4 linked regions of the Struthio camelus genome follow. The protein of the gene in region 4 purifies or fractionates together with the protein of the main gene of each other region. This does not show direct contact. Links are inferred from orthologs where the notes say so. Each region holds a gene or a part of one and is shown on either strand. Other genes may lie near its edges. The genes, in order: TSSC4, PRPF6, SNRNP40 and DDX23.

The links.
Region 1: the proteins of DDX23 (region 4) and TSSC4 purify together in Homo sapiens (affinity purification with mass spectrometry; 3 studies listed by BioGRID and IntAct, with this or other methods). This does not show direct contact. The link is inferred for Struthio camelus from reciprocal best matches to the Homo sapiens genes DDX23 and TSSC4.
Region 2: the proteins of DDX23 (region 4) and PRPF6 purify together in Homo sapiens (affinity purification with mass spectrometry; 3 studies listed by BioGRID and IntAct, counting the BioPlex papers as one, with this or other methods). This does not show direct contact. The link is inferred for Struthio camelus from reciprocal best matches to the Homo sapiens genes DDX23 and PRPF6.
Region 3: the proteins of DDX23 (region 4) and SNRNP40 purify together in Homo sapiens (affinity purification with mass spectrometry; 3 studies listed by BioGRID and IntAct, counting the BioPlex papers as one, with this or other methods). This does not show direct contact. The link is inferred for Struthio camelus from reciprocal best matches to the Homo sapiens genes DDX23 and SNRNP40.

The regions. Positions count from the first base shown.
Region 1 is NC_090946.1:18,608,421-18,615,850, forward strand, and holds the start of TSSC4 (U5 small nuclear ribonucleoprotein TSSC4), read left to right. Parts: upstream 1-4,417; 5' UTR 4,418-4,541; intron 4,542-4,644; 5' UTR 4,645-4,741; exon of another isoform or gene 4,742-4,766; intron 4,767-5,573; 5' UTR 5,574-5,646; intron 5,647-6,543; 5' UTR 6,544-6,631; coding exon 6,632-7,430. UniProt on the Homo sapiens protein: Protein associated with the U5 snRNP, during its maturation and its post-splicing recycling and which is required for spliceosomal tri-snRNP complex assembly in the nucleus.
Region 2 is NC_090959.1:17,594,646-17,601,463, reverse strand, and holds the start of PRPF6 (pre-mRNA-processing factor 6), read left to right. Parts: upstream 1-3,805; 5' UTR 3,806-3,929; coding exon 3,930-4,000; intron 4,001-5,016; coding exon 5,017-5,185; intron 5,186-5,896; coding exon 5,897-6,015; intron 6,016-6,697; coding exon 6,698-6,776; intron 6,777-6,818. UniProt on the Homo sapiens protein: Involved in pre-mRNA splicing as component of the U4/U6-U5 tri-snRNP complex, one of the building blocks of the spliceosome.
Region 3 is NC_090964.1:4,647,241-4,654,510, forward strand, and holds the start of SNRNP40 (U5 small nuclear ribonucleoprotein 40 kDa protein), read left to right. Parts: upstream 1-4,260; 5' UTR 4,261-4,269; coding exon 4,270-4,479; intron 4,480-4,639; coding exon 4,640-4,769; intron 4,770-5,395; coding exon 5,396-5,489; intron 5,490-6,265; coding exon 6,266-6,431; intron 6,432-7,015; coding exon 7,016-7,138; intron 7,139-7,270. Other genes in the region: ZCCHC17 (zinc finger CCHC domain-containing protein 17), read right to left, coding at 1,182-1,282, 2,950-3,007, 3,402-3,446. UniProt on the Homo sapiens protein: Required for pre-mRNA splicing as component of the activated spliceosome. Component of the U5 small nuclear ribonucleoprotein (snRNP) complex and the U4/U6-U5 tri-snRNP complex, building blocks of the spliceosome.
Region 4 is NC_090969.1:1,012,234-1,020,080, forward strand, and holds the start of DDX23 (probable ATP-dependent RNA helicase DDX23), read left to right. Parts: upstream 1-4,834; 5' UTR 4,835-4,992; intron 4,993-5,319; coding exon 5,320-5,537; intron 5,538-5,678; coding exon 5,679-5,777; intron 5,778-6,024; coding exon 6,025-6,121; intron 6,122-6,241; coding exon 6,242-6,307; intron 6,308-6,561; coding exon 6,562-6,700; intron 6,701-6,812; coding exon 6,813-6,946; intron 6,947-7,071; coding exon 7,072-7,184; intron 7,185-7,263; coding exon 7,264-7,407; intron 7,408-7,647; coding exon 7,648-7,847. Other genes in the region: RND1 (rho-related GTP-binding protein Rho6), read left to right, coding at 175-294, 378-465, 2,084-2,193, 2,321-2,455, 2,558-2,803. UniProt on the Homo sapiens protein: Involved in pre-mRNA splicing and its phosphorylated form (by SRPK2) is required for spliceosomal B complex formation.

The sequences.
Region 1 (7,430 bases), on a different chromosome or scaffold from region 4:
TACCTGGCACAGGGCATACCCTAAGCAGGAGGCTCCATAGGCAAAAGTGTACTATTTCAATGTAAATGCTTTGGCCAGCCTCTGGCACTTGGTGCGTATGAAGTAGGCAGCTGGATGCTTTCACTTCAGAGCCCAGGGAGCTTGAGCAAAAAGAAAACAGCACGCAGCCAACTAAGCATGGTGTGTATATGTTTTCACATTTGCAGATGCGTTACAGAGAGTATCTTTGCAGCTGGGCATGAGAATGTGGATTGACTGGTGTTTCCCCACTAGTTTTAGATGAGCCAATGAGCCAGCTCAAATGCCAGTGGTTGCAAGTAATATTTCTAATTAAAAGCTAATTACTTTTTTTTTTTTTAAGTATTTCTTGGCCCTGTGTTTCTAGGGCACTAACTCATGTTAGAACACAGCTTTGCTGAGTACCAGTGAGGTGTTGGTGTTAGGTAGGCAAGACAGCTTGTGTATAACACTGTGCCTGCAGGCTGGGAGTAAGCTGGGGAGTTTCCCTCTGGCAAGGTTTAGAGGTGTTAAACACAAATCTCTGTGTTGACTATAAAGTCACATCAGTTAATGAAGTGTCTACAGGTTATGTTCTAACAGGAGGTGTGGGGAGTTTTAGGGGGTTTGTGTTTTTTTTTTTTTTTAATATTAACTTCAAGGCACTCGACTAGTTCAAACGCTCTCTTTCAGCCCTGCTCAACTGCAGTATTAAACACACTGGGGCCAATGATAGGAAAGAAAAAAAAAAGAGGTGAGAATTAGGAGAAAGCTTTTTAGTAAAAATATGCTGTAGCTAAATCAAAATGAACAGAGGGTCCCCCAACTATTTGGGGTTTTGTTTTGTTGTTTTTTTAAATTTGAAACAACAATTGCACAGCACATTAATTTGGTCCTAAACAATTTCAGCTCCTGCTCCCCCTCAGATGTCGTGTGTGGCATCTCCTACACATACATGGTCTCTAACAGAGCAAGGGATGCAGGTTCTCAGCACAGGTCCTCTCCAGGTCAAGCAATAACATTGGTATTTGAAAGAACAGGTTGATGGAAACTGGGGTTTGGAGCTTCATGGCCTGCCTGTATTAAGACTAACGTCACAGTAACTACTTTGATAATAGTTACCTTAGGGGAAAAAAAGCACCAACATGGATAAACAGCACTGAAATAAATCAAAACTGCTTGCAGGTGAACCAGGACCAAATAAAAATACTAAGCAAAACTAGTGAGCAAAACTCTGTGTAGAAGAGAGTGTCAAACATTGAGCTCCTGGAAACTCACCCAACAGGATTTCATGGCCACTTGTAGACTTTCCTTCCTGCAAATGGGAGAGGGCAAATCTGATTATTTCCTTCAGCCACTACCTTTACCCCATTCTGCCCTGGTGCAGCTGCATCCTCCCAGCAGAGGACAATATGGTCTTTATTACTGTGCTATTACTGATTTTGGCTATAGGAAAATACTCCTTTCCCTCCCTACTTCCTTTCAGGACCTACAGCATCAGCTAAGCATAGCCAGGTCAGACTCACTTCCATCCTCACTCCAGATGCATAACGAGGTGAAAAAAAATGCATCTGCTTGCTCTCTCTGGCTTGCAGGATCTCAGTGGCTCACTTGTGTCCGACAGATACCGTGCCACTATTGCTTCCTAGTCCCCCACTGCAGAGACCTATGGCAACCGTTGCAGTCCCACCATAAGGAGCTTCCCCCATTTCTGAGGAATTGCCCCTTTCCAATAGCCATGAGGACAGGGGCAGGAACTGCCTGCCAGCGTCTACCCTGGCCTCTGACAGCAGAAGCAGCAGGAACCTGCCGGCTGAGTAGCAGAACCTGTTACCAGATGGGCACCAACTGACAGATGCGTTTGCAAGAAAGGAGCATGAAGCTCCCACCAGCAGGGCTGTGATGTGTATGCATTCGCACAGGCCACCCCCGCATGCAGGGAGGTGCTGGCTTCCTGCAGGCGCACAGGGCCACCTCCTCCAAGAAGCCCACGCCGTGGTGGAGCTGGCTCCTTGGAGCTTGCACACAGAACACGCCGCCCTCATTTGGATGATTTCCCGCACCACAGTTAGAGCCGCGATCCAGCCCCTCATCCCTCTTCAAGCCACCTTAGTTCATATTGGCTAGCGGAAAACGCTTTACCATCTGTTCATCTTCAGGGCCTGACTCATTATTTTTATTTCAGCTGTCACCAAGCAATAGCAAAAAAATCCCAACACACCAGTATATCCACCACTACAAACTGCCTTGTCCTCAGTCACCAGAAAAAAGTAGCTCATCCCCGGATTGCTGCAGTGTGTGGTACTGATCTTCTGCAAAAAGGCAGGAAGGAGAAAATGGGTACAGCCAGCTTCTGAAGGTGACTTTGGCCATTAACAGACATAGCTTCCAGGTGAAAACTGAGCAGTGACTAAGCCTAGCAATGCCAGTGGCCTCCACAAATCTAGGAATGGGGCTTGTCCCTGAAGGCACCCGGATTCGTGGATGATGGAGAGACTGGAGGTGGCGTAGCCCTTTTCTGCCCTCCTGAGCTCCTAACTAACGTAGCATTACAACCAGGTTTTAAACCATTTCATCCATTTGCACCAGACCTTCTTTGTCTCCACCCTTACAAAAAAAAGGGATATGCCACTGCCTACTCCACATCCTTTCCTTGCCTCCTCCTTTTTACTCTCCGAGATTCACTCCTGGTACGTCCCTGACATGCTACACAGTGTTACACAGACTTTACCTGTGTTTTAGTCTTATTTCCCCTTTCAGATGGTTTCCTTGCCTGTTTACTACCCTCCCCATACCTGCTCCTGCTGATGTACCAGAGAACTCTTCCGCTCTTCCTCCCTCCAGCCAGGAACCCATTTTAATGGCTGTGATCACACTATTTTCAAAAAGGATCACCAAATGGGGAAACACCTCTAGAACTGTTGATTTAAAACTGCAGCACAGCTCCGGCCAGACGAAAGACATTTTGTGCTAACCTTGTTACTGCTGCCAAACGTATTCCAAACACAGCTCTCATCTCATAAATTACTCATCTCATAAATTACTGTAGTGAGCAACACTCCAGAAGGCAAAAGTGTATATATATTTTAAAACTCACAATACAAATGGCTGCAGCTTATATTACAGATGACTCACAGCGAGGCCCCTCTTGAAGGGCTTCTGTGAAGTCTTTTAGGACACAGACACAAACTTACCTTTTGGCAAAGAAACCGAGATGAAACAGGGTTTGGATGCTGTGGAAAAAAAGGTGCCACCAAAATCCAAAATGGTAGGACTCCACCAACAGTTCTGTCTTTTGTTGCAAAACGATGATATAAATCATCTACAAGGCCTGGACTAAGTCCTATGTTTCTCTTAATCCTTCACTGCTGGGCAACCCGATTAAGTAAAGGCCTGACCTTTAGCAGCTCAGACCCTTTGTAGGCATTAATTTAATTCCATTTAATGACGAAGCCCCCACAATCATGCGACGCAGTAAGGGTGCGTGACCCTGCGGAAGGGTGGAGGGAAAAAGGAAAATCCTGCAAACTTCTGTACCGCATGCTGCGTGTATGGCACTCAAAGAACAAACCTTGCTCTTTTTTTTCCTGAACACACTGTAAATGAGCTAAATATTGAAGTCACTTGAGAAGTCTATTTTCACTGGAAATTTAAACTTTTCACTGAACGAGGGGAAAAAAAAAATCAAGCACCTTTGGCCAAAACCAATAAAACATTTTTAGAAAGAATTCCACTTTTCCAAGCATACACATTATGTTCTTCTGGGACAGAAAATGGAAACTTTCTTTTTTTGGCTGGACACTGGTTTTATGCCTCTAGTGACTTGGAAGTCTTCTGGTTGAAAAATAAATACATACAAATTAAAAAAAAAAACCAAAAACAAAACAAACACCAGACACTTCCTCTGACATTTTCACTGTGGCCAAACGCCTACTTTTCCGATGAGAAAAAAGGCTCTGCTGGACGTGTTTCTGCCAGGCGGCTGCGGGGATGCTCGGGAGGCGGCGGCGGTGCCCTCCGAGGGGCCGGCTCGCCGCGGGGCCGTTAGGCGGCGAGCTCGACGCTTGCCGGGCAGGCGGGGGCGGCCGGGACCCCGCTCCGGCCCCGCACACCGCGACGGCGGGGCCGGCCCTGCCATTGCTGCCCGGGCCGCAGGGCACTGCGCCAGCAGCGCGCCCGCCTCCCCACAGCCTGCAAAATGGCGGCGGAGAGCAGCGGGCGCCGCTCGCGGTGCACCCCGGGAGCCGTAGTCCCGCCGCGCCGCGTCCCGCGGAGGGCCCCAGCTCGCAAAATGTCCCCCACCTGGGGGCAAGCGGGCGAACTACAGCTCCCAGCATGCAAAGGGGCGAGGGGCGGGTGAGGCCTGGGTGGTGCCTTCCCGCCTTCCCCCCCCCCGCTCCGCTTTGCCTGCTGGGGGTTGTAGTCCCAGCGCCGCCCGCCGCCGCGCCGCCTCACGCGGCAGGGACTCGGTGTCCCAGCGTGCGCCGCGCGGGCAGGACGCGGGCGGTTGCTGCGAGGAGCCGTTGGGGTGGCGGCGGGTTGTGGTAGGGGGCTGCGGGCCCGGCGGGAGAGGCAACGGCGAAGGGCGGGGAGGGCTGCCGGCCACGGCGTGGGGGTGATGGCGTGTGTGTTCTGCCTTGGCTGCAGGGGGAGAGGCCTGCGGCCGCATGGAGGAGCGTGAGGGGGCCCTTCCCGGCCAGGGAGCCGCCGGGCTGCGGCGGGCTGACGCCGCCCTCGCCGACCGGTGGGTAGCTGACCTCGGCTAGGAGGTACCGTGACTCCCCCGACGCGCACGGTGCCGCCTGCAAGCAGTCGTTTCAGTCGCTCCTGCCTTTTCCTGGGCTCTCCTGGGTGGCAGCCGCTTCTCTCACGTGCTACGGCAGCTGAACCGGAAGGGCGTAAGGGGTTTCAGCCGGCCGTTGGCCATGTAGCAGTGGCAGCAGGGGCCGTGCTTTTAAAAGCAGTCATCCGCTCGCCTTGCCCAAGGCAGCTGGGCTGCGTGTGCAACGCACCGCTCGGGCTGCTGCCTTCTTGAGAAGTTGCTCTGTGTTTTAACGCCTGGTAGAAATCTGGCCCAGATTGTGAATACGGCCTTGCTTTGAAAACACAGGCCTGGGCTAGCCTGGGTCTCTGCTGTGTGGGCCTGGGCTAGCCTTGGTCTCTCTCTTTTTTCTTTTTTTTTTCTTTTTGCAGCGTTTAAGTGCTCGTAACGCATAAGCGTCCATTTGATATTTTTCTTGGCCGTATGTAACATAGTTCACCTCTTGACGGTTTACTGCTCGTGCAAATGACAGTGTTATTTTTTTTAAAAGGCTGTCTCCCGTTCTACAGACTCTTAAGGCGGGCAGCGTGAGCGTGGAGACTGAGTAAATGTAGCGGTGCCAGCCTTATTAGGGAGCGCGTTGTTCTTTTGCCAAGAATCCGGGAATATCTGCAGACTTGTATATTAGCGTGAGCTTATGTCAGATTTAGAAATCAGTTCTGCAGTTTTGGATGATTCAGAGAGAAGGAATTATTTTTAAAGCTCATGCTAAAACTACATTTCCAATATTGTAATGGAAATGTTTGTTTTCTAGGGTGGAAGTGCTTGTATCGTTGATGGCTTTAACTGACCCTCAGGAGGGGAAGCTGACTCAGTCTCAAGAGAAAGTGAGTGACTAACAGACTTTCTATGTCTGTTTACTGCATTGTTTGAAAATAACCCATAATTATGTAGTTGAGCTTATTCTAGTAATATACTAGAACTATTTCCTTATCTCATGTTTTTGTGAGCTGAACTGAGGTGCATATTCACCAGCTCCGCTTCTTATTGCCCAGCAAGTGGCAGCGTGAACAGCAACCATCTCCGGTTATGGAGAGTTCCCTTCTGTCGGAAGACAGAGCGAATCTGGTATTCCAGCCTGTACTGGAACTCAGGCTTCGGTTTCACAGTTTGTTTTTACTGAGTGAAGGGCCAGCTCTTGTTGAGCCTCAGTTGCAGGCTCCCCTTGCTTCCACTGTGTTAGCACAAGCAAGGCATGTGTGATTAGTTTTCCTAATCCAATTAGATTAAGTCCTTGAGCTGGCTCATCACATGATCCCTGAAACCTAGTAATGACGTGACAGAGCTTAAAGTCAGGGAAGGAATGAAGCCTGTGCTTTATATCAGTAAAGAAAAAATGAAGCTATAGCCGTGCTGTTTTATAAACTTCTCTCTCACTGACCTTGATCAGTGAGAGTGTTCTTTGTAACAGACAGTATAATGAATACACTGCTTATTGGCACAAGGCGTAGTGCTAGTGCAGCAAAGGAAAATAGCAGCCAAAGTAAGTGAGAGATTAGGGTATATTTCTGTTGGATTTATACAGTACGGTAAACATAGGGTGTAGTCTGGACAGGTCATTGCTGGAAGTAGCGTATAAGACAGTCATGTGGATTTGCTCAAAAACTTGATGCTGATAACCTGTGCCATGTAAACAATGGTTACAGCAGGACCGATTATTAAGTTAAGAGTGATACGTATGGTACTTGTATCACAGTTGAATTTTTGAACTCCTTGCATTCTAGGCGTTACATTCGTTGGGTATTTGGAAAACCATATTTGCTGGTGTTCCTGGACCTACATCATAGACATCAGTGGAGTGACAGCCCAAAGATGGGAGATCAAGATGCAGGTGAACCCTTTCTGGGTATAGTGGCTGGTGGTACCACAGACTACGAAGGAGTTCTGCCCTCTGACACAGTATCACTCAGCGATTCTGATTCCGATGACTTTGGGTTAGCGGATGAAGCTGAAGTTGATACAATATCTCCTGAGGAGCCATCTGTAGATGATGGGGGTTACCAATCAGGGGAGACCTCCGACTCTTCAAACAGCCGTTGTAAATCTCCCATCCAGCCATTCCACTTGAGAGGCATGAGTTCTACATTCTCTCTCCGTAGCCAGAGCATTTTTGATTGCTTGGAAGAGGCAGCCAAACTGTCTGTGCCCTCATTGCCTGAAGATAATGTTGTTGATGGTAGGTTTAAACGTCCTTTGCCTCCAACTACTGTTTCAAGTAACATGGTTCCAGAAAGCCCTGGAAAACAAACCAAACCAGTGCAGGCTCCCAAAATTTCTGCTGCAGTTCCTGACTATGTGGCACACCCAGAGCGCTGGACCAAGTATAGCCTAGATGGCGTTTCAGAGTCTAATGACAAGACTAACAGGGCAGTGGCCATGGAGTTTCTAGAGGGTTTGAAGAAAAGAGGAGAGGAACAAAGCTCAGCTGCCCACGATAGCTACACCCCATACTTCAACCAGGACCCCTCCAGCTGTGGTGCTGGAAGGATTATCTTCACCAAACCAACAAAAAGGGGCGTTGATGGACTGGAAAAGAAAGTGTCAGCAGGGGAGGATCATAAGAAACACACAAAAACAGATCTGAGAGGAAAATCTCCTAAGAAGACTGATG
Region 2 (6,818 bases), on a different chromosome or scaffold from region 4:
TCCCCGAGACGTGAGATGGCTTCGGCGGAGGCGTCCGGAGGCGCTGGCTCTCGCCGCGTGCCGGCGCGGGCTTGGCGCTCGGCTGCCGCTGGCACCGGTGAGCTGCGCAAAGGCTCCCGCTGCCGCGGGGCACCAGGCGCCCGCGTGGCGCATGGCAGCGAGCAGATGCTGCGACCGCGGCCTCCGGGCCCCTCTGGAGCCGTTGTGTGGGACTAATTAAAATTTCAGGAAGTATATTTACCTAATGCAGAGCTGATTTTGCTAAGTAGGACATCCTGTCTTCAGAGGATTTCACGGCACAGGGCGATAATCAAGTGCGAATAGGCTCCAAAAGTGTTAATGTAGTAGCTGAGCAGACGCAGATTAAAAACAAGTCCCTGTTTAGTCTTTTCTCTCACTTTCGCACCTGAAATCCAAGTAATCATCCGATTTGGGAGTGCAAAGCAGCAACACCTCAATGCTGCAAGCAGCACGCAAACCGCCGGCGCAGGTCTGCCCAGGGCGGCCGTGGCCGGACTCGCACCGGATGGCAGGGAAGGAGCCGGCGCTGCTGCACGCGCGAGCTCCCCGCCGCCCCGCCGTCCTCGGGGCGATGCCCTGCACACGTCAGCTCCCTGCCATCCTCGGGGCGATGCCCTGCATCCCGCCGTCCTCGGGGCGATGCCCTGCATCCTGAAATCCTCGGGGCGATGCCCTCCACACACCAGCTCCCCGCCGTCCTTGGGGCGATGCCCCCTGCATGCACCAGCTCCCCGCCGTCCTCGGGGTGACGCCCTGCATCCCACCGTCCTTGGGGCGATGCCCTGCGCACGCCAGCTGCATGATCCATTCTTGCAATAATCTCCTGTGTTATCTATTCTCGCTGCATTACGTCATATTTAAAAACATTAATTTCCAGTGCATGGACAGCCCCGCGTTTCTGCCTGGCGCAGGGCCGCAGCGCGGCCAGCACTCCTACACCGGCTTCGCCGGCTCGCTCTCCCGTTGTCCTGGCAGAGGACGGTGACTCCGGCACCTCTTCCCTACAGTTCGTGCTGCAGGTAGCAGCCGGGGAGCGCGCTCTCCGAGAGCGAAGCGCAGCGCCGGCGCGGCTCCTCGCTGCTGCCGTTGCCTCTGCTCCTTAGCGGTTTTATTGCCCGTGCACAGAGACGCAGGCGCGAGAGGCAAGAGCCGCTATGCTCGCGCGCGCGCCGCGGAGCAGCTTGGTTTTCTTGTAGAGTTACGGCCGAACTGCAAAGGCCGAGCGCGCAGCACGGGCGGTGCATTATATTTGCACATTTAGCAGGTGCAGTTGCCCCTTCGCCCCTCAGATTTTGCCACTGAAAACTAGGACCAGTCGCTGGTTTTGCTCCCGCGGCCGCTCCACGCCAGGGATGCTCCGCGCCAGGCTGCGGCTCTGCGCGACGCTCACCCGCGCGTCAACGCTGGGTACCCGCAGAGTTGACTAAAAAGCATTTACGAGGCATTTTACCGAGCCTATAAATTATGCCGGGCGTTCTCGCGGGTGGGAGCGCGACTGCGCCGCGACGGCTGGCGGCGGCCGGCGCGCGGCATCCTTCCCGCGCAGCACGGGAAAGGATGTGGCTGTGGTGTGAACAGAGCAAACGTACAGCACCGAGACCAGCCCCGTGCTCCAGGGCAGCGGCGCATCCCCCAGCGCCACCCTGACCGTTTGCCAAAAGCGATGCTCATTATTATTATTATTATTATTATTATTATTTTCCGCCAGCCAACCCCCAAAATAGCTCGCTGTGAAGTGGCTGGGGGTTGGGTGCGCGGTTAGCGTGCAGAATGGGGCTGTTCGTCTTCTCCGCAGCTGCTTGGCGCTTCCAAGAGGCTGGTGGGAGCTGCCGCGGGGCGCGGGGGCGGCGCGGGCCGGGGCGGCCGGCGGGGGCCAGCGCCCCACCGGGGGGGCCCCTAGACCCCGGAGCGGGCGCTAATGCAGCCGTGAACCTGCCGTGCCCGGAGCACTTTGCAAACGGGCGCTAATTAATCCGGCACGGGCAAAACCCTGCGAGACCCGGCCGGCCCCCGAGGGCTCCCGCGGCCCTCGGAGCCGGTTTCGTCCCTCGGGTGGGATAAGCGGCCGCGGCGGTGGCTGGCGCTTGGTGACTTCCCGGCGTTCATTGGGAGCTGACGTCCTTTTTTTTTCAAGGGATTGACTCGATAAGCCAAACTCCGCGTTGTCGGAGGGAAAAGGGCCGTGCCGGAGCGCGGGAAGCCACGCTGACACCCCGCTCCCGACACGGCGCCTGCTTTGGGGGCGTTCGTGGGAGCTAGGCGTTAGACCAGGGGCCAGGCTGGCCCTGGGCCGCTGGGACGTGTCCTGAGTGCGACAGTGCTCTGCAGCCCCATCTCCTCGGTCGCTTTGGGGCGGCGGGTTGAATCGCACCCCTAAAGCCAACAGGCTCCCTTGGCGCCAGCTGCTCTCCGGCCCCCCCCAGTCCCCCGGAGGAACGTCTCATCTCAGTCGCCCCGAGCCCGAATCCGCCTCCGACTCTGGCTGGAGCAGGGCCCGAGCTCAGGGAGAGCCTGATTAAACCAGGGGACGCATAGCTTTAAATTAAGCCTGCGCCATCTGTTCTGCCTGTTTAATTGCAAATGCAAAAGAGGAAGAAGCTAGTTTGTAATTAATCAGCAAAAAAGATCCAAGTTATTTAATGCGGGCGCATGCCTTTTGTTCGGCGTGCTGTGAATCTACGAGGATTTTTGCATTTATTAAGGCAAACGAGGAGGAAGCGTGTGGGCGCGGGGCGGCGCAGCGGGTGCCACGGGGTGCGTCCGGGATAGAGCGGGCCGAGCGCTGTGCTGCATTTGCGGGTCCGGCTGCACCCCTGTGGCTATAGGTGTCCATATATGTGCCCACACTAGAGACATGCATGGGAGTATGTTCATTTAGGTGTGGACACATGCGTGTGTTTGTCGGTGGATGTGTGCAAAGTGTATGTAATGCAGAAGGGATGTGTGGCATTCCGTGTGCGTGCGGGGACGCAACTCCTCACAGGCAAGGACGCGTGTGCAGGAAAGCTGGGTTGGAACCTATGCAGGCGGCGCGTGAGGCTTTAACACGTATTTGTGCTTGTTAGCAGGCATACCTGTGGTGGAAAGGTGTGGTCTACACACGGAGCAAGAGCCACGTGTGTGCACGCAGGTTTGTGCGCACGTGCATACAGATGTATAGGTGCAGGTGTGTGCAGGTGCACAGGTGTGCATGCACATGCACGCAGGTGTGCAGCTTTACGCACGTGCAGGTGTGCATGCGCGTGTGTGATGTGTACACGTGTACCTGCATGGTGTGCAGGCACACGTGTGTGCAGGGGTGGGTGGGTGCATGCGTGCGTGCCATGCGTGCAGAGCGGTGTGCGTGCAGGCATGCACGTTATGCACGGAGGTGGGTGCGCGGGTGCATGCACAGCTGTGTGCGAGGGTGTGCCCATGTGCAGGTGCACGGGCACCCGTGCACGCATGCAGAGGTTTGTGCACCGTGTGCAGGTGCGCCGTGCACGTCCGCGCGTGCACGGGTGCAGCTGTGCGTGCCCGCTCCTGCGTGCGCGCGCGCGCCTGCCCGGGGCGCGCGCACCGGGGTGTTACCCACGTGCGGGCATGCAACGCCTGCGCGCCCGGGGGTGGGGAGGTGGGGGGTGGGGGCCGGCAGGGGTGCGCATGCGCGCCGGGCTCTGGCGGGACCCCCGGGGCGCCAGGGGGCGCGGGGGGCGCGAGGGACGCTCCCTCCCCCTCCTCCTCCCCCCCCTCCCTCCCCGGCCGCGGAGCGGAAGTGCCGGGTCGCGCTTCCGGCCGCGCGGGCCGCCTGGGTAGCCCCGCCCCGCGGCGCGGCCTGTGATGGCGGCCGCTTCCGCCGCCGCTTCCGCCGCCGCCTCCCGAGCGGCCCCGCCTCCGCCGCTCGCCTCGCCGCCGCCATCGCCGCCGCCATGAACAAGAAAAAGAAGCCGTTTCTGGGCATGCCCGCGCCCCTGGGCTATGTACCGGGGCTGGGCCGCGGGTGAGCCCCCTCCCCCCCACCCCCGGCCCGCCTTCCCCCTCCGCGGCCTTCGTCGCCCGGCCCGGCCCGGCCTGGTCCCCCTGGCCCCCCCGCGGGCCCGCAGCCCCTTCCCCCAACTCCAGGCTGAGCCCGGTTTTACGCCCCGCCGCCCATCGCCGTCCCCTCGGGGCAGGCCGTGCCCAGCGGCCCCTGCTCCGCTTTTTAAAGTTTTATTCATTCTGGGCGGTTTGCGTCTGCCTTTTCGATAGGCTGTTCTTACGTAAACGCCGACTTCGGGGATGAGTTCGAGGGTTTTTTGAGCGTTGTCCGTTAGGAGGGGTGTTGCCGCTGACCCGGGGTTTGTGCGCTCGTGTCGTAATTGCGTGTGCGCGTGGGGGGCTTCGGTAGAAGTCATTAAAATCAGGGCACGCTTGTGCTGGCAGTTATAGGGTAAAACAACAGGCAGGTCCTGGTGATGCATGGGCAGCAGGGGTTTGCCCTGTGGTGGTGGGGAGCTATGTTGTTCTTGGGTGACAGCGGATTTGCATCCTGGTTTTCTCTGTCATGATTTGTTCGTGTCTTTGCTTTGGGTTGAGGCATCCTTGTGGACAGGGGCATGTAGTCCTGTAGGCTGGGCCCTGGAAAGCATTGACTAGCTGAATATGGGGCTTCTGAAGAGCCCCCGTGTCTGCCTCTGCCCTGATTGTATGCACCTTACAACCTGCAGGATGTAGATAATCTTTTTTGCTGCATGCCATTGATGGATAGACTTTAAAAGCGAATGCATCTCTGGGTACAAGGTGATGGATGGTGAGGGGGTGAGCAGGACAACTTGATTCTAGTATCATTATAAATAAAGTTATACCTATAAAAGGACAATTGTTCCCAAAGGGTTTCATGAACAGTAGGGATGGGTAATGCCATCCCTGTGAATGAAGTGTTTTTTTAAATTTTCTAGTTTTAAGTAATTTTAACAGACTCTGTGTAGTGATTGCACTGCTGCGTTGTAAATAGCTGCTATTGGTCTGTCAACATAGAGCCACAGGTTTCACCACCCGGTCTGATATCGGCCCAGCACGTGATGCCAATGACCCGGTGGATGATCGTCATGCTCCGCCAGGGAAAAGAACGGTTGGGGATCAAATGAAGAAGAATCAGACGGCTGATGATGATGACGAAGATCTGAATGACACCAATTATGATGAGGTGATGTGTTAATCATCCTTCAGGTGTTTTTTCCCTAGTGGAAGAGGAGCCCATTAGCTTCCTGCTCTCTTGTCGTAAAACCCTCAGTCAGCTAACAGCACTTCCTCTTTTTTTGTTTTCTTTCTTTCTTTTTTTTTTTATTGGGACCCTGTTATACATAATAGCATAGTGCTTTCAGATCTCTGTTTTGGTGTTCATCCATATGTGTGATTTAATTATATATACAGAGCCCTGAGAGTCTTAGGAAGAAATCCATAGGTAAAATATTAGTTTAAGTGCTTCATGGGACGCATCTTTTATTCGGCTGCAAAAATGAAATCTAAGCTTTTGACATAGTTCTGTTTTTACGCGGTCTGTGTAGTCTCTTGTGTTTAAATCACGCTTTGGTTAGTTAACTATTGTGTTACTCTTTTTGTTTGATTTCAATAGTAACACTTTTTGGGTAATGGAACAAAACGGCTTTTCTCTACTGGGGAGCTTGTTTATTGCTTAATAGAAAGTTTTGCTGTTGAAATGGTGTGGGAGAATCGGCTCTTGCGGTAGAAGAAAGTTGTTTGTATTTAGGGATGTTTTAGTGTGATGCAGTGTTACTAAAAATAGTTTGCTCATGCGTTTTCTTTATCCTGCATGACTGTTGGCTGTACTAGGTACATAAAGAGTTCTAAACTGCAGGTTCAGCTTTTTTTGAACTGCTATTTATTTTATTCTTAGTTCAATGGGTATGCTGGGAGCCTGTTCTCAAGTGGTCCCTATGAAAAAGACGATGAGGAAGCAGATGCTATTTATGCAGCTTTGGATAAAAGGATGGATGAACGGAGAAAAGAAAGAAGGTAGGCTTAGTTACAATGCTGGCAAGGAGTGTTTTTGAGTTGGTCTGCGTTTTCTATTTAGTCTGTATTTCAGAGTTTTCTTCTGTTTTTCAACTCAAATTTTGTCCTTGTCTACTGAATATATTTTCAGAAGCAGATGCTGGTTTTGTTTGTGTTAATGCTGTACGTTAGATACTGTTGCTTTAAGAGCTATGGATACTTGGCACAATTTAACCTGAGCGTATCTCTGTGCTTGTTGCCCATTTTCTTCAGTGGTAGATTTGGTTGAATTGCTTCATTGTAATTCCTTAGGAAGATTTAGGGAGATGCTGAGCTAATGTTTCTGACATATTACCTACTGTACGATACACTGGCAATTGTTACAGAAGTCATCTAATGCAGATGTCTTGTAAACCCGTGAGTGTCACTTAATTTTTTTTAAGTTTATTGCCTGGTCTACAGGTAAGTGGAGGTTAAAGAGTGAAGTTGATTTGGTTGCAAATGTCTAATTTGACACTGTAACATTGTCTTAATTGATGAGCTATTTAATTTGCTGTTATAGACGATGATAGTCTAAACTTGGAATAATAATGTTTTTTGTGCCTTACCTCTGATCAAACACATTTTTCTGTAATAACAATGCTTTAGATAAAGACTTGCTCAGTGTTACTTTGAGTATAACTTCAGTACCCCTTTTCCTAAGGGAACAACGAGAGAAAGAGGAGATAGAAAAATACCGTATGGAACGACCCAAAATTCAGCAGCAGTTCTCAGACTTGAAAGTAAGGAGAGAAAGCTTTCTTAAATATGACTTTTGTCTTTAT
Region 3 (7,270 bases), on a different chromosome or scaffold from region 4:
CCATTCAGATTAACATTCTGCATTTAACATGAGCGAACCAAAGCGCTGTAGAAGAAAGGGTATGTTTAGGAACTTTGCTATAATTCTCAATAATTAATCAGTAATCCACCCACAAGGGAGTTTCTGCTGGACCTTCAGCAGATTTGCACCCTGAAAAATAAGACTCTATACCTGCTCTCACATTTCTATCTTCTTATGAGGTTAAAAACTTTCTAAGTATCTGTATTAGGGGCTTATTCTTTTCTGAATCCTAATAAGCCCTTGATTGCCACATTATCCCTTTAGAAGCAAGAGCAAAGGTCGTAACTTTTAAAAGTCTTTTTACAACCTTCTATAAGTACACACCAAAAGGTTCTAAATCTGTTTATCTTCCACAAATGGAAGGCATTGCTTTGTATGTCAACCCTATTGTTATCGTTCAAAAAATCTGAAAGATGTAAACCAATTATGACAAAAACCTCTCATCTCTAGAAGGCAGCAAGTTTCAAAATACATGTATTTGCCAAAAGAATTATAAAAAACCACACACACAAAAAAACACCTTCCCACCTTTCTTTCCTAAAAAATATAGTCCACTTTCACTGTTTCAATGGCTCACCAAAGTAAGAGTCTTTGTTCCAAGGAATCTTTAAATATAGAAGATAGGCCTAGCATCACTTCTTTTGTGCACCAAAAAAGCAATATAATAAAGGGTAGAAAATAAGACACACCCCTCCAAAAAAAAAAAAAAAAATCTGTGTTTTCCCTTGGGCAAAATTCACTGTCAACTATCTTTCCTTGAAAACAAAAAACACTCAGCTTCTTCTAATAACAGACCTGTCTCTCACAACTGTTAAAAGACTGTGCTTATATTGGCTCTCATCTTGGAATCCTCTCAAATTGCTCATTTGGCCACCAATCACACAGTTATGGGGGTGCAAGCTGCAAACAGGTAGAGAGGAAAAGAAAGGAAAGCGCTTTGCTGCTTTTAAGTTTTGATTGCATTGCAGCAAGTCACAGAAGGTCAGCTTCCAATGTCTCACCTGACAGTGAGCAGAAATCAACTGTTTATCAGATATATCATGTTTTGTTTAACAAAGCGACCAGAACACCCTGCTTCTGCATATCAAAAAGTTCTTAGTTTACTCTTTTTGTAATATAATTTATTTATACAGTGTTAAAGAAACAAGAATTAACATTACCTCTTTTCCAATAAGTTTCACCCACACTTTGTCTCCAACATCTACTATCTCTGAGGGCTTATCCACACGGCAGGATGACATGTGAGTCTTATGAACAAGGCCTGGTCATATTTTTGTAAAAAAAAAAAAAGGGAGGAAAAAAAAAAAAAGTCTCTACTGACTGTTAGTTTTGTCCTCTAGGAGTCAGAGGGCACCTATTAAGAGGTTTCCCTACGCAAAACTAAGCATCTAGTTTCCCAAACACATTACGCAGATGAGAATCAGTTAGTTTAATCAATCAAGTTTGTTTGCAAACATATAAAAGCTCATCAATATTTGCTCCAAATTTACTCCATGCTGTTAGGAAGCATGAGTGACACACAGCAAGACAATAGGCGTCAAAAGAGATAGAGGAAGCGATGAGAAAAGCACTGCTCTCCCCAAAGGTGTAGAGCTGCATATGCCCCCTTCTGACCACCATCACCACAGAAACAATCCTCAAGTTTTTGTATGAAACAAATGCAATCAAAACTAAGGGATCTGATCAACCAACAGGGAGACAGTATTCTCATAGCCTCCAGGCTGGATTCATCAGTCCAAGTTTTCATGTGTGTCCAGACACCTCCGGGGCTGGATGATTTAGCACTATGTGCAATGAGCTGGCGCCTCATTGATAACTGAGACATTACCGATAACTGAGACACTAACTCCAGAAAAAGAAAACGGACCTTCCGTATTTAAGATCTTAATTTACAGCTTGTCAGAGAAGCAGGCCCCAAAGCAGCGTCTTTGTACTCAAAATACCAGGCGTCCACATGGAAAAAAAGAAAAAAAAAACTTTTTATTTTAAGCAGGCATTAACGCCTCTCTATTCCTGTCCGTCCTCTGAAACCAACGTAAGCACTAGAGAACAAAGAACATTTCATGCATCAGCAGCACAATACTTTGCTGGCAATGTCAAAACCATTAAATACCCAGGCTGACCTGATTTTCTGTTGTGCTTGCAAGGTCATACAGCCAGATTTTTTTTTTTTTTTAAAACTTACACAAATAATAAATGTGGGCTACAGGATTATACATGGAAGGATAAGTATGGAAACACACCTTCATGTCTAGGCTTATATTTCAGGACATGTTTGCATCTCAAAGAGACATCCTTCCACTAGTCACACTTCCATGCAAAAATTTTTATTAGAGCTGGCGCTAAAGTAAGTGTGCAATTCAAGATGAGAGTGAAGAAGTGGTTATTCGTATGCATACAAACAATTGACAGAACATCCAGCTTAAATTGCTTCTTTTGTGTGACTAGTTTATTTTACTCTGCAGTTTTCCCACAACTGTAAACAAAACTAAGTCAGCTTTTCCGGTCTATTTTTTATTTGAAGTCCACTTCAGTCATCTTTATTTGACTTGCAAACTGGTCATGAAAGAAATAAGTTGTCAAGCTAAATTTCTTGTGGAATTTTCTATAGTTTGTCCACCACCTGAAAACGATTCTCTAAGATGCGGTGAAGTTACCAAAAAAAAAAAAACCCACTTCCTCTGAAATCCTCTGAGCCTTTTCTGTATAACTGCATATGTAGCACTACCTTAAGTAATTTGTGAGAACCTGTTTTTTCTTTTTTTTAAGTTCAACACTTTTTCTGAGCTAGCAGATAAATCAGATAGAGAAAAAGAAGGAGAAATTCTAGTATTCTCCTAAAAATTGCCAAATCTTTTATTCTGGGGATGATTGCAGAGCCTAACAAGTCAACATGAAAATAAGCCTAAACAAATAAGAGAAACAAACCTTGTTTCCTGCAGCCTGGGATTTTTATAAATGCCCCATATTCTGTTACAGTAGCAACCTGTGAAGAAAATCAATACAATATCTAAACAAAAGAGACTTGGTAAAAATCCTGTTTTGAAACCACCAGTTAAAACATGCACAAAAAAGGCTAAATGGTTCTCATATCTTAGTTCAGTTTTAGACTTCAAGGCTGGGGAGAGACAACACTCCTCGATAACTCTAGAACAAGCGTGGCCAGCCAACTACTCCTCTGTTAATAATACATATGCATATATGTGTGTGTGTGTGTGTGTGTGTGTGTGAACACACACATATACGTATACTTACATAAACGAGCAACGTAGCTGACAGTTACCCAAACCACCGCTGAACTAACCAGTCATTTAAACTAAAGCAAACAACCCGCACTTCACGACACCTCGCAGTATCGTGGCCGCAGCCCCACTGCACACCTCTCCTTGGAAGATAGCGTAGAGCTCAGGCAGCGCCTCCATCATCTCAGACCTCACAGGACGTGCTCGGGAGCGTCTCTGGGAGCAACCGACAACGTTCCTCCAAAACCTTCTGGGCGACTCCAGTTGAACTCATTGCACGTCACTGCGCTGCGGAGGAACCACGCTCGTAACCGGAGTTCAGAGAGATGCCTTGGAAAAATATATTTAATCAGCACTTGAGAACACCTCCTGCAACCAGCTCAGTGACATTCGACTAATATGACAAATTCTTTGGTTCATTTTGATTTAGGCTATGATGCGACACTAGCTCCTCGAGCTGGGTGACACCAGCTGCGGCCGCCTTCGGGCCGCTCTCCCAGGCGGCACCGGGCCCAGCCGGGCCTGATCCGGACGGAGGGTGGGGAAGCCCAACCTCGCCGCAATGCTCCGAGACTTCCCCTGCCAGCGCGACACCAGCCCCGCCGAGGCTGAGACCGAGCGAGCGCCCGACCCGTCGCCGCCACCGTTACTTACCCCCACCAGGCGCCACCGCCATTTTGCCCCCTCCCGCTTCCCCCCTCGCTCTGAGGCAAAGCGGCGCTCCACCAACCGTCGCGCGCGGTGATCGCAGGTGACAGCCGGTGAGCCAATCGTCTTTACCTATATTGCCTCTCTCCCTCCATCCCGCCTCCTCCGGCGCCAGCGGCCAATCCGCGCGCAGAGCGCCCGGCCAGGCCGCCTCTGCTCTCCTTTCGCCACCCGCGCGCCGGAAGTGAGGTACGAAGCGAGCCGAGCCGGGAGCTCTCCGCCAATCAGCGCGGGAAGACTTGGCGGGGCCGCCCAATGGGGGCGAGGGGGCGGGACGGGCGGGCGCGCGGCGGCGGCGATGATCGAGCAGCACAAGCGGAAGGTCCCGGGCGGCGGCCCCGGCCCGGGCCCCGGCCCCGGCCCGGCTCCGGGCGCCGCCCCCGGCCCCGACCTCCCGCTCGTGCCCACGGCGGCCAAGCGGCCCCGCCACGACCTCCCGGGAGCGCCGGGCGGCGGCGGCGGCGGCGGGGGGCAGCAGCAGCCGCCGCCGGGGGCCCTGCTGCAGGCGGTACGGGCGGGCTGAGGGGAAATGGTGGAGGGGCCGGGGCCCGGAGGGGAAATGGCGGAGGGGGAAGGCGCTGGCCGTGCCCCGGGGGGGTGCCCCGTCCCGCCGCCACGGGGCCGCGGTGCTTCGCCCCTCAGCCGACTCACTCGTTGCCTCCCCGCAGGGCCCGCCGCGATCCTCCTCCCTGCAGGCCCCCATCATGCTGCTGTCGGGGCACGAAGGCGAGGTGTACTGTTGCAAGTTCCACCCCAACGGCAACACGCTCGCCTCTGCCGGCTTCGACAGGCTCATCCGTGAGTACCAGCGGTGCTGGCGGCGCCGGGCTCCGCTGCCCCAGCGAGCGCGGAGCCGGGCCGGGGCTCGCCTGGCTTCGGGCAGCCGCCCCGTGCCTCTTCCCTTAGACTACCGTTAGTTTCATTTCAAAAATCTGCTTGCTGAGTCCATGTAAAGCGCGTCGGCGCTTTGCCAGGCGGTGAACAGGAAACGTCAGGCTCCTCGGACAGGTTGCTGTCCAAGTAGTGTGGCTTTTTCCTTGGCTAGGGTCAGTAATGTGCCTTGCTTGTCCTAATTCTGTATTCGCTCATCCCTTGCGTAGGTTACTATGCATTTGTGTCTGCACCAATCTTTGGAAATACATTTTTTAAGGCTTTTGGCTTGCTAGAATGGGTTGGAGTGGCTACCTGTTTTTCATAATAAATTCACCTGTATCTGAAATCGTAAATCACCTTAAAAGAGCTGTGTGCTTTCTGGGGCTCACCTAGCCCACTTGGTACTCTTTTATTGCTATATGTCCTAGATGTGAAGAGATGTTGGCTACTGTAGGTGGTTCGTTTTAATGAATTTCGGGAGAATCAAGCTATCCACAGCGAGTGCGTGTTTACATCGTTCATTTACTAATCTCTCTCTTTCTGTCCTTTAGTGCTGTGGAACGTCTATGGGGACTGTGATAATTATGCCACCCTGAAGGGACACAGTGGAGCGGTTATGGAGTTGCACTATAACACAGATGGCAGGTAAATGTCGTGAGGTCGGTTTTCTGCCTCACTTCTTGCTCTTTCTGAACAAAGTCTACAGACAGTTTTGGGAGAGTGGCAGCATCTGTCATGCACCTCAGCCACACTCATTTAGGTGGCTCGTGAGGGGCGCTTGGCAGTTTTCAGGGCAACGTATTTGCTGCTGGCCAGCCAGACTCCTTTAGAGCTCCTCCTGTTCATTGCAGCTGCTTAGTTGACCTTCATTAATGGTACTGAAGAGGAGCACTTGTACTGTGGCTTTCCCAGGAAGGGAGTGTGCCTGCTTGAGATTAAGCAAAAGATATGGAGCTACTTGTGACCTAGGAGTGCCCTTGATTTCAATCTTGAGGAACACGTGAAAGTCTGAGCTGGTCTTGAGCGAGATGCTGGTTGGTTGGGGAGTGAAAGAAAACAAGTGAGATATTTCTTAATTTGGAAGATTGTTCCGCTGTTACATCTTAACCAGGAGTGCTACAAAGAATTCTTTCTCCTGTGTTCTCATCCTAGATAGTGTTTGAGCAGGTGGAAAACCAATACGTACTGATCAAAAAATGGGTTTAGATGGGAGCATCTCCACTGTACTTGTTCCACGGTCATTCAGTCTGCGCTGACCAGAATTGTCTTTGCACCAGCCTTTGCATATTGGGCGTAGTTCTTCTCAATGACATGTTTGTGTTTAACGTTTCGAGCTTTGCTCTCGGTACTTGGGAGTAACAAAAGTAGAATGGGAGAAATGCCTCTGAAATGGAGAACTTCACAGCTGTTCTTCTCCGCAGCATGCTCTTCTCAGCATCCACAGACAAAACAGTGGCGGTGTGGGATAGTGAGACGGGAGAGAGAGTAAAGAGACTGAAGGGCCATACGTCATTCGTTAACTCCTGTTACCCAGCAAGGCGTGGACCCCAACTTGTCTGTACGGGTAGTGATGATGGGACAGTGAAGGTCAGTGCGTTGTATAAGGAGATAGTCCTTTTTTGTTTTTACTGGTTCAGTGAGTTAAATTCAGCCTTTCTTTACTGTCTCATAATTTCATTATCTAACAACTTCAATAAAACTTGATACTTCTTTTCCTTCCACGATTCTTTGAGTATGGGTTCAGGAGATGCAGTTGGGATACCATATTGGAGCAGCCTAAACAAACCATTGTCTCATTAAAGGAGGACTGTCTTCTTTCTGTGTAACAGTGTGCTTGTTTGTGATGCATTGTAATCGATATAGATTTAATGCAAAATAAATCAAGTTTTACTGCAGTGTAGAACAGCATAAACAAAACATGAGGAAGGCAAACAGGTACTGAAATCTTTTACTCCAGCTCCTTCTTGCCCCGTCCCCTATTTTCAGAAATCGAAAAGTCCTGTGTTCCTGACCATAGCATGTCTCTGCTATTATTTTTGTAGCTAACTCTTGAGATCTAAAAAAGTGAGTTTCAGTAGAGCAGTCAGAGACCCGGCAACGTGTCTGCAACTTTCTATGATTTTATTGTTAAATGCCTCTCTGTAACTTTTAAAATTGCCATATCTTTTCAGCTGTGGGATATCAGGAAAAAAGCTGCTGTCCAAACATTTCAGAACACTTACCAAGTCTTGGCTGTGACTTTCAATGACACCAGTGATCAAATCATATCGGGGGGCATTGACAATGATATTAAGGTATGATGATTTCTATCTTGTGCATCTGTTCTGACTTTACACACCTTTTCCGTCCCATCAGATTTTGATTGTAGCGAAATGCAAGATATAGCAATGGTCGAGGGAAAACGTGGAAGCCTGTTGGTTAACTTT
Region 4 (7,847 bases):
CCTCGCCCCTTCGCCATTGGCCGCGGCGCCGAGCGCCCCCGCCGCGATTGGTGGGCGGGCGCCGCCGTGGGCGGGGCGTGGCGGCGGCGGCGCTATATAAGGGCGCTGCGGCGCGGGCGCGCAGGGCTGGCGGGTGGGCGCCGGGCGGGGGAGGGTTGCGCTCGGGCCGCCGCCATGAGGGAGCGGAGGCCGCCGCCGCCCGCCCCGGCCCGCTGCAAGCTGGTGCTGGTGGGCGACGTGCAGTGCGGCAAGACGGCCATGCTCCAGGTGCTGGCCAAGGACTGCTATCCCGAGGTGAGGCGCGCCGCGGCCGCCGCCGGTAGCGGGGCTCGGGCCGGCGGCGGCACCGGGCGCTGACGCTGTCGGTGCCGTTGCAGACGTACGTGCCCACCGTGTTTGAGAACTACACGGCGTGCCTGGCCAGCGAGGAGCAGCGCGTGGAGCTGAGCCTCTGGGACACCTCCGGTACCGGGGGGAGCATGCATGGGGAATGAGGGGGGATGCCCCTCCGGTACCGGGGGGAGCATGCATGGGGAATGAGGGGGGATGCCCCTCCGGTACCGGGGGGAGCATGCATGGGGAATGAGGGGGGATGCCCCTCCGGTACCGGGGGGAGCATGCATGGGGAATGAGGGGGGATGCCCCTCCGGTACCGGGGGGAGCATGCATGGGGAATGAGGGGGGATGCCCCTCCGGTACCGGGGGGAGCATGCATGGGGAATGAGGGGGGATGCCCCTCCGGTACCGGGGGGAGCATGCATGGGGAATGAGGGGGGATGCCCCTCCGGTACCGGGGGGAGCATGCATGGGGAATGAGGGGGGATGCCCCTCCGGTACCGGGGGGAGCATGCATGGGGAATGAGGGGGGATGCCCCTCCGGTACCGGGGTGGGGGGGTTGCACCTCCGGTACTGGGAAGGAATGCATGGGAAAGGGGGGTGCCTGTCTGGTACTGGGGGAAGTGGGGACATTCCCGGGGAGGAGTTGGGGGGGAGAATGCCCTTCCGGTACCGAGAGGTGGGGGCATGCAGCGGGGGGGGTGCGGCATGCTCTGGGGGAGCTGCGCGCTCAGTATTGCGGGAGGCTGGTATCGGGGACCTGTGGGGGAGCATGGTGGAGCCCTGCAATGGGGCACTGCAGTGGTGGGGGGGGTGTGATGCCTGGGCTATGGGGGGGCTGCAGCACGGGGGGAGCCTGCAGTGGGGCACGGTGGGGGGCTCTGACCTGGTTTGAGGGGGCTGCAGTGGGGGTGCATAGCCGGGGCTGGCTCAGGGTGGGGGCCTGGATCCTTGAGGCTGGGGAGTGGGGGGGGCCTGGTCCCCTGGGTGCAGGAGGGGACAGGGCTCTGTGGGGTGGGGGTGATGCATTGGGGGCAGGTATGGGCTCAGCACCCCTTTTTTGGGCAGGAGCCCAGCACCAGTGCAAGCCCCTCTGTGTTCCTAGCCCCCCTTAGGGCTGCATGGGGGCCTCTGCAAATGGAGGAGTCCTGCCATTGCCCCATCCTGGGGGGGGGGGGGGGGGGGGCTGGGGCAGCCTTGCCCCGCTGCTGCAGTGTCCCCCCCATCGGCAGGGGGTCCCCGCCACCTGCGGTCCCCATGTTGCCATGGCGATGTGCTGGCGCAGCCTCTTTGCTATTCCGCGCACGGAGCGTCTGGGCTGCAAAACCCCTCGGAGGACACGCTGGGGTCGGGGGGGGCAGCATGGAGGGGGTGCCCTGCCTCACCCCCATGCCTGCAGGGGGGGCTCCCTCGCAGTGTCCCTCTGCGGTGCTGGTGATGGGGCATGCCCCATGGGGGTGGCCTGGTGCCCTGCCACCCCCTCACCGGGTGCCCCGGCTGGTCCCTGACACCCCTGTTGCTGGCAGGGCTCCCTTCTTGTGGGGGAGGGTTTGCGGTTATATAAACTCCCCAGGAACCATTTCCTGCTGCCTCATTAGTGAAGATGGGTGTGTTAACGAGGCAAGGCAGTGTTTTAGGGTGCTCTGGAGCTGCTCCCCCTCCTTTGCAAGCTCCCTGCTGCCTGGGGGGCAGCAGCCCCTCGGCCATTGCGGGGTGCAGCGTGGTGACTCCCCCCCCTTCTCCCAGGCTCTCCCTACTATGACAACGTGCGTCCCCTCTGCTACAGCGATTCGGATGCCGTGCTGCTCTGCTTCGACATCAGCCGCCCTGAGACCCTGGACAGCGCATCCAAGAAGGTGAGGGGTGCTCAGCCCCATCCCTCCGTGCACGGTCGTGGGGACCATTTTCCCAGGAAAGCCCCTGCATTGGGATCGGGTTTGGGGACCCCAGGGTGCCCAGCTGACTGTGGGTTTGTGTGTGCAGTGGAAGACGGAGATCCTGGACTACTGCCCCAACACCCGGGTGCTGCTCATCGGCTGCAAGACGGACCTGCGGACGGACCTGAGCACCCTCATGGAGCTCTCCCATCAGAAGCAGGCGCCCATCTCCTACGAGCAGGTGCTGGGGATGGGCTGGGACCCAAAATCAGGGTGCTGAGGGGGCCAGTTTGGGGGCAGCAAGTCAGTTACTGCCTCAGTCTGACGTGGCTTTGGGTCACAGGGCTGCGCTGCGGCCAAGCAGCTGGGAGCAGAGAGCTACCTGGAGTGCTCGGCCTTCACGTCGGAGAAGAGCGTGCACAGCATCTTCCGGACCGTGTCCGGCATCTGCCTCAGCAGACCCAGCCCGCAGCTGCCCAAGAGCCCCGCGCGCAGCCTCTCCAAGCGGCTCCTGCACCTGCCCAGCCGCTCCGAGCTCATCTCCTCCGCCTTCAAGAAGGAGAAGGCAAAAAGCTGCTCCGTCATGTGAAGGGGGGAGACCAGGACAGCATGGCCCTGGCCCCCCGAGGCCCCCGCACCGGGGCAGTGGGGGCTGCGGCGTGGTGCCCCGCGGGGAGGATGCCGGCGGCCCCCCACATCACACCGCTTCCCCCCAGACAGCGCGCACGTCCTGGCCCCTGGGGCTGGGGGGCAGCCCCTGCTGTGATGCCATGGGGTGGGGGGACCTGGGGGACCCCCGGCGCAGAGGGGACCTTGCTCAGTGGCTGCTCCTGAGCCCCCGGAGCTGGCAGGACTCATCCACGGACTCATCCTTTTTCTTTGAATGCCCAGTTGGTGTCTGGCTCTGCCCCATCCCTCATCTGCTGCTTGGCCCTGGCCCTGGAGCCCCCCGAGGGGCTCTGTGGGGCTCCGGGCAGGGGGCGACTTGTTTTATAGACTGTCTCTTGGGGTGACTCTGTTCAATGTTCAGTGTTATTAAAAAAGCTTATTTATTATTGGAAATATAACAACTATCCACCGTGCAGTGGGTGCCTGGTCGTGTGTTGGGTGAGGGGCTGCGTCGGGGGGATTTGGGGCCAGGCCTGGGTGGGGGTCTGTCCTCCATCTGTGTCACAACTTCTGCCTGTGCCAGCAGGGAGGATGACAGTGATACTTGTATCTGGCCACCCATAGGTGATGAGGTGGGGTGGCCCAGGCAGCCTGGGGTGGGGGGGAGAGGGGCAGGGGTTGATGCACCCAGGCTGTGCCGGGTGCGGTGGACTTTGGGCACCCTGTAAGGGCTCCCTGGGTGCCTCCTGCTCTCCAGAGAGCAGCTCGAGGGGCAGTGGTGGCTGAGGTCCTCAGCCCCCTGCCAGGCCTGTGCTGGGGCAGGAGGGCAGTTGCTTTGGGGGGGGGGAGGGGAGAGGGGGCTGTGGTGCATGTGGTGGTGCTGCCCAAGGCTGTGGTGTGCGCAGGGTGCTGCTGGGGTGCGCGGAGGGTTATTGTACAGGATACTGTATGGGGCTGCAGTGCAGATGTGGTTATCGCAGGGGGCCATGGAGTGGGGGGGTTGTTGTAGGGTTTGTTGAAGGGGGCTACAGTGCATGTGGGGTTATTGCAAGGGGTGTTGCAGGAGGACTCAGTTTATATGGGGTTATTGCAGGGGGTCATGGTGCATGGGAGCTATTGCAGGGGGGCATGGTCCATGTGGAGTTATTGTAGGGGGCGCAGTGTATGTGGGGCTATTGCAGGGGTTACTGCAGCAGGCTGCGGTGCTTGTGGGGCTACTGCAGGGGTTATTGAAGGGGGCTATTGCAGGGGGCGCAGTGCATGTGGGGTTATTGCAGCAGTTATTGCTGGGGACAGGGATGCACGTGGGGCTATTGCAGGAGTTATTGCAGAGGGCCATGACATATCTGGGGCTATTGCAGGGGGCGCAGTGCATGTGGGGTTACTGCAGGGGACCAGGATGCTTGTGGGGCTATTGCAGGGACCCCAGTGCATGTGGGGCTATTGCAGGGGGCGCAGTGCATGCGGGGCTATTGCTGGGGGCACAGTGCATGAGGGGTTATTGCAGGGACCCCAGTGCATGTGGGGCTATTGCTGGGACCCCAGTGCATGAGGGGTTATTGCAGGGACCCCAGTGCATGTGGGGCTATTGCAGGGGGTGCAGTGCATGTGGGGCTATTGCAGGGACCCCAGTGCATGAGGGGTTATTGCAGGGACCCCAGTGCATGTGGGGCTATTGCTGGGACCCCAGTGCATGTGGGGTTACTGCAGGGGACCAGGATGCTTGTGGGGCTATTGCTGGGACCCAGTGCATGTGGGGCTATTGCTGGGACCCCAGGGCATGTGGGGTTACTGCAGGGGACCAGGATGCTTGTGGGGCTATTGCTGGGACCCAGTGCATGTGGGGCTATTGCTGGGACCCCAGGGCATGTGGGGTTATTGCAGGGGCCCGGGCGGCCGTGGCCCCCCAGCGGCGGCGGCGGCGGCGCCGGCACTGCGGCTGGCGGCGCGGAGGGAGCCGCGGGGCGCGGTGGCGCTGCGGCCGCGCGGAGGGAGCCGCGGGGCGGGGCGGGGCGGGGCGGGGGCCGCGCCGCGCCGCGCCGCGGGGGCTGCCGGGAGTTGTAGTCGCGGCGCCGGGACCGTTCCCAGCGTGCCCCGCGGTGCCCGCGGACATGGCGGCGGCGATGGCGATGGCGGCGCGGCGGCGTTGAGGCCTGGGCCTGCGCGGCGGTGAGCCCGGGCGCGGGGGGGCTTCGACCGGACGCTTTGGCAGGGGGAGGCGCGGCCGTTCCTGGCGTAGGGGGCGGAGCGGGGGGGGAGAGGCGCCCCCCGGCGCTCCCCGGCGCCCCCCGGTGCGGTGGAGGCTCCCTGGGCCGTGAGGCCCCGGTACCGCGCTCGCTGCCCCCGCGGGGCGCGGAGCCACCGGACCCTGCCGCGCTCGGGGCTGGAGGGCCCTGCCGGTCCCCCCGTGTGGGGTCCCTGGGACGCCGGTCACCGGTCTCCGGTTCTCAGTACCGGCTCGGTCCCGGCTGCCGCTCTGACCCGCCGCCCTCGTAGATGGCGGGAGAACTGGCCGACAAGAAGGATCGGGACGCGTCTCCCGCCAAGGAGGAGAGGAAACGTTCCCGCTCCCCGGACCGGGACCGCGACCGGGACCGCGACCGGGACCGCGACCGCAAGAGCTCCCCTTCCAAGGACAGGAAGCGGCACCGCTCCCGGGACCGCAGACGGGGCAGCCGCTCGCGCACCCGCTCCCGCTCCAAGTCGGCGGACAGGTGAGTTCAGAGGGTGACGGCCCAGCCCAGGCACCGCTTGGCTTTTAGGAGAGAGCTCTGTCGCTCTCGGGTGCGTGTAAAAGCCGTCCAAAAGGACCGCGGGGCTGGGGCTGAGCCGTGCGCGACTGCCCTGCTCCACAGGGATCGCCGGCACAAAGACCGCGACCGGGACAGGAGCAAGAAGGACCGCGACCGGGACAAAGATGGGCACCGGCGGGATAAGGACAGGAAGCGATCTAGGTGAGCGCTTGCTCTTCTCTCAACGTCTCTGTCTATGTGTCTGCGCTCTCGTCTCCCGCCCAGCTTTTCTGTGAGCGCGTGTAGGGGACCGAGCCTGGAAACGCAGCTGTTGCTGGGGTGGAGCACAGTGACGCTTCGGGAGCGTGTGGCTCTGTAGGAATCGTTATTCTGGGCCCTAGCGAGAGAAGGGACTGGGTGACGATGGGATTACGCTCGGTGCCTGATTCTCCTTTGTTTTGCTCGGAAGTTTGTCCCCAAGCAGGGGCAAGGATTCGAAGTCCCGGAAGGATCGGGACTCACGGAAGGTGGAGGAGGAAGATGAGAACGCGCTAAAGAAGGAGAAGGTAAACGGGGGGAGGCTGGGCTGGGAACAGTTCCTGGGGGGCTGCTACTGCCTCTGGCAGGGCAGGGGATGCCCACTGGGAGCATTCGGGGCTGCTAACGGTCCGGCCCTACGTTTGCAGGCTCAGCCTCTGTCCCTGGAGGAGCTACTGGCCAAGAAGAAGGCTGAAGAAGAGGCAGAAGCCAAGGTAAGAGCAGGGACCCTTTCCCTGCTATGGGGGTCTCCCTTCTCCCTGCTGCAAGGGGCCTGAGCGGCCCCCACATGGGAACGAGTGTGAGGCCTCCCTCCCTGCGTGGCCTCAGCACCCCTTGTCCACAGCAGCTGTAACATGGGGATATTCCTGTCCTGCTGGACGCTGCTCCCTGCCTGGGGCAGCCCCGGGGTCGGTGTGGCTAGGGGGTTGCAGCCAGCTGTGGTACAAACTTGCCTCTCTTGTCCCAGCCCAAATTCCTGTCCAAAGCGGAGCGGGAGGCCGAGGCCTTGCGGCGGCGGCAGCAGGAGGTAGAGGAACGGCAGCGGCTGCTGGAGGAGGAGAGGAAGAAGCGGAAGCAGTTCCAGGAGATGGGGAGGAAGATGCTGGGTAAGGTGTTGCCCCTACTGCGGCCTGCCTGGCTGCGAGGGGCTGGAGCAGACCCCCCTCCCAGCCCTGCTGGGGAGGGCTCGGCTCTGATACCCTTTCCCGACTTCCCCAGAAGACCCCCAGGAGCGTGAGCGCAGGGAGCGCCGTGAGCGCATGGAGCGGGAAACCAATGGCACGGAGGACGAGGAAGGCAGGCAGAAGATCCGGGAGGAGAAAGACAAGAGCAAAGAGCTCCACGCCATCAAGGTGCCAGTGGCTGCAGACCCCCTGGACTGGGGCAGGGGGGTGCCCTGGCCGCCTGGGTCCCCTCTCTGCCGGCCGGGGAGGGGAGCCTGGGCTGGGGGAAGGGGCTGACGCTCTGCCGCCTGCAGGAGCGGTACCTGGGAGGAGTGAAAAAGCGAAGGCGCACCCGGCACCTGAACGACCGCAAGTTTGTCTTTGAGTGGGACGCGTCAGAGGACACGTCCATCGACTACAACCCCCTGTGAGTGCTGGGGGCACCCCTGGGGCTGGGAGCATGGGGCAGCCCCAGCCCTGCCCCTGACGCTCCCCTCCCGCCATAGGTACAAGGAGCGGCACCAGGTGCAGCTGCTGGGCCGGGGCTTCATCGCGGGAATTGACCTGAAACAGCAGAAACGGGAGCAGTCACGTTTCTACGGGGACCTGATGGAGAAGAGGCGGACACTGGAGGAGAAGGAGCAGGAGGAGTGAGCACGCTTGGGGAGGAGCTGGGAGCGTGCTGAGGGGTGGCTGGGGTCCTGTCTGGCTCTACCTGTCCGTGTGGGGACAGAATGAGGGGCTCTGGACTACAGCATGTCCCTCTGTTAGGTGGAGGGGTAAATCCAGTGTCCCCAGAGGTGTGGGGTGGGCTGGGGACAGGTGGGGACAGCTCTGACCCCTCCTGGAGGCCAGGGGGAGAGCACTGTCCCCTGCCTCCCCTCACCCAGGGCACGGCTGCGGAAGTTGCGGAAGAAGGAGGCCAAGCAGCGCTGGGACGACCGGCACTGGTCCCAGAAGAAGCTGGACGAGATGACGGACAGGGACTGGCGCATTTTCCGCGAGGACTACAGCATCACCACCAAGGGAGGCAAGATCCCCAACCCCATCCGCTCCTGGAAGGACTCCTCCCTGCCCCCCCACATCCTGG